2 linked regions of the Mus musculus genome follow. The protein of the gene in region 1 purifies or fractionates together with the protein of each later gene. This does not show direct contact. Links are inferred from orthologs where the notes say so. Each region holds a gene or a part of one and is shown on either strand. Other genes may lie near its edges. The genes, in order: Amer1 and Fbxw11.

Region 1 (4,300 bases):
CAAGGTAGACAAGATCCAACAGGGCAACAGGTGACTATTCATTGGGGGTTGGAGGTGGGGACTGCCATTGTTTTCTAATCCTTCTCTGATCCTCACCCTCAATTCACTTCTCCCTCCCCTTTTAGACATTGAAGGAGTTTTCAAGCTGGGATTTCTGTACATTCCAGAGCTGGTTATACAACCGGATTCTTTGTTGCTCCAGCTCACCTGGCACTGGCAGTTACTAATGCCACTTAATGTCTTTAGGCTAGTTAGAGGCCTAAGCTCAGCTGGCCCGTTGCCACATTCCAGACACAGTAGCCTGTAAGGCTGGTCTGACAGGCCTCCTCAGTGTTCCTCAGTATGACCTCTGGTTAGGGCTCACACAAAACTTCTTTCCCTATCTAGAAAAGGGATCTGCACAGACCAGACTCACAATTGATGAAGTGTGCTCTGGAGATCTTTGTTTGTTTAATTTTGCTTTTGTTTTTGGAGACAGGGTTTCTCTGTATAGCCCTGGCTGTCCTGGAACTCACATTGTAGACCAGACTAGCCTCAGACTCAGAAATCCGCATGCCTCTGCCTCCCGAGTGCTGGGATTAAAGGCATGTGCCACCACTGCCCGCCTGGAGATCTTGAGAATCATTCCATGTTCGTTGGAAGGTATGGAATTTAGGTGAGAGGCCAACTATTGAAATAGTATACTCTAAAAACAGTTATTTTCCTAGGGAAGAAAAGTGAAAGGTACCCTGAAAGGTAAGTATAGGTCTATATTCCAAATATGTCCCAGTTACTGGCAGTCTAAGTAACGGAGGTGAAGTGCCTTTTCCCAGGCAGCACTGATGGTAGTTGACCTCAATCTTGCCTTCCCTAAGAGCCTGGGGCAAGCAAGGAAAGTGCAGGGCTAAGGAGCCAGGTGGTGTGGGGGTGGGAGGACCAAGAGGCAGGTCACTTTCCTGACAGGTGATTTCCTCTCTGGGAAGACCAGCCACCTGGCCCTGCTGCCACTCTTAATAATTAGCCAACCATGGTGCTAAAGGTTTCTGCAGGCCCCACAATCTCTGGCTCCTTCCTTTTCTCCCCCACTTCTCACAGCTAGTCTCGAACTGAGTGGAGAAACTCTTTGGTAGCAACCTGGGAGCAGTAGCGCAAAAGCACCAAGTTAAGGAATGAGGAATGTATGCAAAATCGAAACCGAGTTCCAAGAGTCTGGCAAGTCCCATTTGGGCGGGACTAGCTCCGGGAGTAGGGTGTGTAGCCACGCTGAAACCCGCCCCGCGTGGGAGCGGAAGTAGGGAGTCCCTGCAAGGGGTTCGACAACCTCTCCGCCCCCCTGCCAATACCACGCCCGATTTATTTGCATTTAAAGAGAGAAGCACCAAGGAAAACAGTGGGCGGGCGAGGGCATGCCTTCCAGCCGTCATGATTGGACTGTATGCCTGCCAATCATATCACGGACGTCCCACCCTATAACTGTGGAGTCCGGGGTGAAGGGGGTATGGGGGAGCTGCCCAGAGCCTGGAGAAGGGTAGTCGGCGCAGAAGACTGCTGTAGTCCCGGTGAAGGCTGCGGCAGGAGCAGTGGTGGCGTTCTCAGCAGAGGCTCCAGCTCAAATCGGAGCAGCGCAGCAGACAATAAACAGCGCTGGGAGCTGGACCTGGCAGGGTAAGCATTGCACACAGCTAAGAGCCATCCTGCTGAAGGTCTAGTGCATCCCCGCGTGCTCCGCTCTGGTCTCCTGGACTAGGGTTTCCAGAGCCTGGCTGATCGGAGTCCCAGCCTCTTGCTGGTCTTTCTTTGAACTCGCTTTGCGTACTGTCCAGCGAAGGGCCCAGCGGCCGTTAGTCTTTAGGGTCCGGGCGACCGTGGCTGGGGGGTGGGGTGGGAGGGCCGGAAGGCGGGCGGACTATCCTGGGCTACGCCTCTAGGTTGTAATGGGAGGCTGGGATGGGCCCACACGTGCTGTTGCGTGGTTCCGGGAAGGGCGCCGCTAGCCAGCACCCGGAGAACGCATTTGCAGGCCGGGAACTCCTTATCTTTGTTTGTAGTATATTTTCTGGAACAGCTGTTAGGCCGGTGCTGCTCACCCGCGAGGCCTTGCTGTGGCCCCTCCCCTCTGCGGTGCATCTCCTATGTCTCTCCTCTGCAGAGGAAGCTGGCGCGCTCGCTTATGGCCAGACTGAGACTGGCTTTAGGGTGGATTAAGATATCCACAGTCTGTTCCTCCTCAAGGGAGCACAGTTGGGTTTCTGAACTTCCCACTTATCCTGGAACCTTGGTCCTATGGTCCCAACCAGCCGCACCCCCTCCTGGGCCTCCAGTCTGTCGTTTGGCTCCCACCCCCATTGCAGGCGGGCTGGACCAGGAGCTCTTACTGGCCCTTGGGTTAGAGCTGCAAGGCCGCTTTGTTGCCGCCCCCACCCCCTACGCGCCTCTTTTCCCTTGTAGGGCATAGGGCGCGTTTTTTTTTCTTTTTCTCTCCAGCCTTTGGTTTAAAATAGCAATAGGCACAATATTGTGGGGGGATTTCCCTGCTAGAGGCGGAGGGGGCCGTCGTTGTAGTAAAGAACACACAGTATATATAAGGCAGACAAATCCTACAACTTCTCAGTTACTTAAAATACCCAGCCTGCCAGACTGCTGTCATTGTCTGCTGCAGACACCTCTGACACTGGTGACCGCCCAAAGGCGTGATTTCTCCTGAGCTCCCCTTTGAGGGGCTAAGCTTGCCAGATGAGCCATGGGAGGCAAAGGCGGCAGCGGGACTAATACAGCAGGACCATCCTCCCTGTCGCTGGACTCGCCTTGAGAGAAGTGTAGACAGCCCTGTTCGCATATGTCTTCTGCGTCTCTGGCTGGCCTGCCTCAGCAACACTGGTATGGACTGGTCTCCGGGCACTGCATTGTTGGACTTTCTGTCCTACCATTGGAGATTCCAACAAAGCCCATTCCTTCGAGTGCCCTACTCTGTGCACCACTCTGGACTATTAAGGCATTCCTGAAGAATAAGAGAGGGGATTTGACTAAGGGACTGTGCAGGCTGGACAGCTTTATAGTGGGGCATTGAGACCCAGTAAATAAATCTCTTACTTTGTAACGTTAACATGGGATATCTATCTATCTATCTATCTATCTATCTATCTATCTATCTATCTATAGATATAGCTATATAGACACACACACATACACCCAAGCTAGGATTGGGGATACCACATTATTTTCACCCCTACCTAATTGACCAGACCTCAACACATCTTTGCAGCTGGTCTTTTATTTCCAGCATCTGACTCTGCCCTGCTTTGACTTCAGTCCAGCACCTTTCCCACACTCAAACACTCTCATCCTACACTTGTCCAAGTCCCTCCCTTTCAGGCCTCAGTTCTCAACCAACTTTCTCTTTGGGGCATTTCAGGCTGCTTCTAGATGAGCAGACCTCTTGGAACTCCTGTACAGTTAAGTTTCACTGACTCTGCTTTGTTTCCCTTATATAGGTATTTAGGTTCTCTCAGAACCCTCATAGGGGTAAATAAAGCCTAGGCCTCAGCTACAACCCTCTAGGATCCTAGATTTATAAAGCAATTAATGAGTGAATGTTCCAGAAGGACTTTCTGTCTTTGTAGAACTTTAGAAAAGACCTTTATCCTCCCAACTTGTGTTTGCCTTAATCCATGAAACATAAAGTAAACGTGCCTAAGGCTCAGATATGGATATAATATACCTAGTGTGGGTGGAAAGAGGGATTGGGTTGCTACTACATTCAAAAAGAAAGTCATAATTAGTTCCCTCTATTATCAGGGTCTGGACTGCTCAAACCCTGGAGCTCTGCATACTTTTGGTTGCTGATTCATGAGCCTACAGGCAAAGTGCCATGGAGAGATCTCTCTCTCTGCATTTAGAAAGCAGCTGGGAAGTACAGGAGTTTGGTAGAGAAAGAATAGACAGAATGAGAAATGAAAGGGAGTGCCTGGCAGGCAGGGTGAGTGGTGGAGGTGGCATAACTCAGAGGTGCAAAAGAGTTTAGGACCCAGTGGTGGGAACTGCCAAACATCAAGCCTTGAAATGGTGATCTAATCTTTTTAGGCGAAGATCTTTAGATCATTGAACAAAGGCTGGTCAGGGTCAGGGGTTGGGGGTGGTGGATGCACCTTCGAACCAGCGATAAGAATGGAAGGGTGTTTGATTGTTTGGGGGTATTTGTATTGGGGTAATTTGGGGTTTTGTTATTATTTTGAAACAGGATTTCACTAGGTAGTCCCAGCTGTTCTGGAATTTGCTTTGTAAGCCAGTGCCTTTGAATTCATCGATATTTGCCTGTGTTGAA
Region 2 (3,813 bases), on another chromosome or scaffold:
GCCATGACAGAGTGAAAAAGGCTGCCCGATGGAGGAGGATTGGTTCAGTGTGTGCTGTTCTGAAAGAGCAGCTCTGAAGAAGAGGAAGGAAGGGAAGGAAGAGCTCAGGCCTGAGAGGAGCCGTTTGTTCTTAAGGCCCTGCTTCCCTTCCCTTCCAGAAGCTGCCCGCTCTGTCATCTCATGACCTGTTTCAATTCTTAAGTGCTTAGTTTGACTTTGTAACATTTTCTTACTAAGAACTCTTGGTTCATTGTTTGGGATTTTGAGAGAACAAAGGCTCTATATTTTTAAAGTTTTGAAGCTATAAGGGGGGGGGGTATGTGTTTCTAAAAGGCCGTCATAGAGGCTGTCACTATTTACTAGAGACTCTTTCCAGACTTTATAAAAAAACCCCTTTCTCAAGCTGCTGATTGAGCACAGTGGCCAAGGGCTACATACACCATAAGGAAAGCCGTGTGACTATTCTGCATGCGAGTAGGTGTTGCCCCATTTCTTCTCCTCTTGTCATTTCCTACCTGTTTGAGACTCATCTTGTTTCCTACACACTGTGTGTTTCTTCGATGATTCAGAGTGCAAGATGCGTGGGAATCTGTGTGTGAGTGTGTGTATTAAACTGCTGCTGTGCTTGATCTTGTCTCACTAGATCTGGGATAAAAGCAGCTTGGAATGTTTGAAAGTGCTAACGGGCCACACAGGCTCTGTCCTCTGCCTCCAGTATGATGAGCGAGTCATTGTAACTGGTTCTTCAGACTCCACGGTGAGGTGAGTGCTCTGATCTCAGAGACAAAGTCCTGAGGAGACAAGGATGCGTACCCTCTTCAGAGATTTGTACACACATACATATCCACATGCATGCACACATATTTGTGGTTCTAGACATATTTTTAACTTACTGTAGTATCTCCAGGTTCTTTTTGATGGAGTTGTACTAAGCAGATAGAGCAGGAGGCTGAGTTTTAGCTGTGTCCTGTTCCTCTTCATGCTGTATAGAGATGGCACTATGCTCTCCTAGCCAATCACACTGCCTTTTGTTACCTTCCTCCTGTTCTTAGGAGCCTGCCAACAGAGCAGAGGGGAAGAAGTCCGCTGTTGTTGAAGTGTGAAGGATGCAGGAACTGAGAAAATCAGGCTGTTGGCAGACCCTTGGGAAAGTGAGCTCTGAGAGCCAGAGATGATAGATTTGATTACGGATATCTGCTTGAGTTCTTTTAGGCATTATCTTCATCTGTGTTGGTACCTTAGAAAACTAAGAAGTTAAATAGTTTCCCGGGAGTCAAATTACCAGTGCATTTTGAGCCTTGAGTTTAAGTAACCTGTGACTGTCTTTATAAAGACAAGGCATTAATGGTGGAGGCTTTAGTTTTTAGTTGTCAACCCAGGATAGAGTGGAGAAGACATTGCATAAGAGAGTTGTGACTAGTAGTTGGGTATCAAAGATTAAAAAGGGAGCGTCACTGAGATATGCTCCTGTGCTCCTGGGAAAGCACTCCTCCCCATGTCTCAGGATTGCAGGCAAGGTGACTGAGTCCAACAGAGAAAAGGACATCATAATGCCAAGGCTGGCTAGACTGAGGGGGACTACAGGGGATGAGGAGTGGAAAGCAGCAAATCTTATGTGATTCAGATGCTTAGAGACAATCGCTTATTCACAGGACATAGGATAGTTGCTCATTCTACCTCTGGATTCTATGATGTCCCCTTTTGGTTACTGTCACACTGTCAGGCTTTGTTTAACCCTGCCCACAGCACAGCTGCTGCCCATGCCCCTGCTTGGCTTCTAGGCTGCTGCTTCAGCCTCAGGTCACTGTTTAGCCTTCAGGGTTATCTTTTGGTCTGTGACAGTATCCTTTAGGATGTTGGAGCTTTTTCTAGAGATGCTACACCTGTGCACCCCATGTCTTGGGTCAGACAGAAAGTGCTCTGACAAAATGCCACAGCTTAGTTTGCAGATGAAAGCAGCAGGTTCCTCAGCATGCCAGAAGCCAGTGGGAACTGTCAGACTCCTGTCATCACAGACTCACTCAAAGCCTGCTGTCTTGAGGGATTGTCTTTGTCATTGGTACAAACCTGAAAACATCTCTGAGTTAATTTCTTAGAGTGTGAGATAAACCTGTGTATAGCCAGATTTAACTTCTTAAGAGCATCTTAGATTTATCAGTATTAAGGAGGCTGCTGCCAGGGATCTGCTGGTGCTACCACACACCTGGTACAGCAAGAATGGCATGAGCCCACATGTCACCTTTCCCTGGCTTTACCATCACAACTTTCTGTTCTCTTCCAGAGTCTGGGATGTGAACACTGGTGAGGTGCTCAACACACTCATCCACCACAATGAAGCCGTACTGCACTTACGCTTCAGCAATGGACTGATGGTGACTTGTTCCAAGGACCGTTCCATTGCCGTGTGGGACATGGCTTCTGCCACCGATATCACTTTACGCCGTGTTCTGGTTGGCCACCGTGCTGCTGTCAATGTAGTAGACTTTGATGATAAATACATCGTGTCTGCTTCAGGAGACAGGACCATTAAAGTGAGTGTGTCTGCTGTCTTCATCCTGACTGTTCCATCTCTATACAGCAGAGAAAAGGCAGAGATGGCTTACACCAGGTGGCAGGGTCTGTTTTTTATGCATTCATACCAGATCTTCCCATTCCACATGCTTCTGGAGCCATGGGCAAGGCAAGAAAAAGCCATTGGTCCCAGTAGAGAACAATTGCAAATTTCATGAGCTCCATGGCTAGTCACCCTGAGTGTGCTGTGTATAGGAGTTTTATACAGGTCATCTCATCCACCAGCCCACACACTTTTTTAGGATAGGTCTCTGTTTCACAAACATGGCTCAAACTAATCATGTGGAGCCTAGATTTGGTTTTTTTGACTGCTGAGAGCTTGCTGTTGTGTGCTGGTTAGATGGCTGGAGAAAGAAGGATGAGCAAGACGTGTCCCTGTCTTCAAGAAGTTTATTTGGCAGACGGAAGGCAATCATGAGACCAGCAATTTGTAGACTAAGATAACCTGCAGCACCGGTGTAAGAAATTCAGTTCTGATTCCCATATCTATGTTATCTCTTAATTACATTGATTCTGTGACATTTCACACATTGTCCATGCTGATAACATTCACTCAGCCCTCCTGCTTCCACATGATGTTCCAGGCATTCAGCATTCTACCCTCTGTCTCTGAATTTGCCTGTTCTTGACATTTCATGTAAACAGAATAATGAGCTATGTGGCCCTTTGTGTTTGGCTTTCTCATGTAATACAGGGTTCAGCACAGATCCATGCTTTGTTGCTTCTGGTGGCCAAATTCATCTTTACTCTAATTGGATCACACTTTGTATTCCCCTTCTGTGCTGATGGACTGTTGCTGGTTTCCTTTTCTGGCAGTCATGGATGATGTTGCTATAAACATTTGCCCATGCATTTTTGCACGTTCATTTAGTTCTCTTAAATTGACTAACAGCGCAGGAAACTGCAAATGGTTTTTCAGGTTGTTGTCCCATGTTATGATCCTGCCAGCATGAGACTTTGTGCTGGCTTGAAGGATTTCTAATGGTTAGCACTGGACAGCTCTGTTCCCTGATAACTCACCCTACAAATCATGGGCTATATCACATGAAACTGGAGGTGTCTGAGAGCTGAACAGTGGATTTTGTGTGTATAACTTAGCCATATGCCAAGAGTCAGCACAAGATCAGCCCTGACAGCTGAGCACTTGGGCCTGATTAGAAGTCACCTCTGTGGGGAGATTGCTCCACTCGCCACCTGTCCACACTCATCACTGTCTTGTTTTGACCTGTAGCTGTCCTGAGA

What was found.
Region 2: the proteins of Amer1 (region 1) and Fbxw11 purify together in Homo sapiens (affinity purification with mass spectrometry; 7 studies listed by BioGRID and IntAct, counting the BioPlex papers as one, with this or other methods). This does not show direct contact. The link is inferred for Mus musculus from reciprocal best matches to the Homo sapiens genes AMER1 and FBXW11.

Annotation. Positions count from the first base shown.
Region 1 is NC_000086.7:95,442,002-95,446,301, reverse strand, and holds the start of Amer1 (APC membrane recruitment protein 1), read left to right. Parts: upstream 1-1,461; 5' UTR 1,462-1,644; intron 1,645-4,300. UniProt on the Homo sapiens protein: Regulator of the canonical Wnt signaling pathway.
Region 2 is NC_000077.6:32,732,857-32,736,669, forward strand, and holds part of Fbxw11 (F-box/WD repeat-containing protein 11), read left to right. Parts: intron 1-643; coding exon 644-762; intron 763-2,281; coding exon 2,282-2,531; intron 2,532-3,813.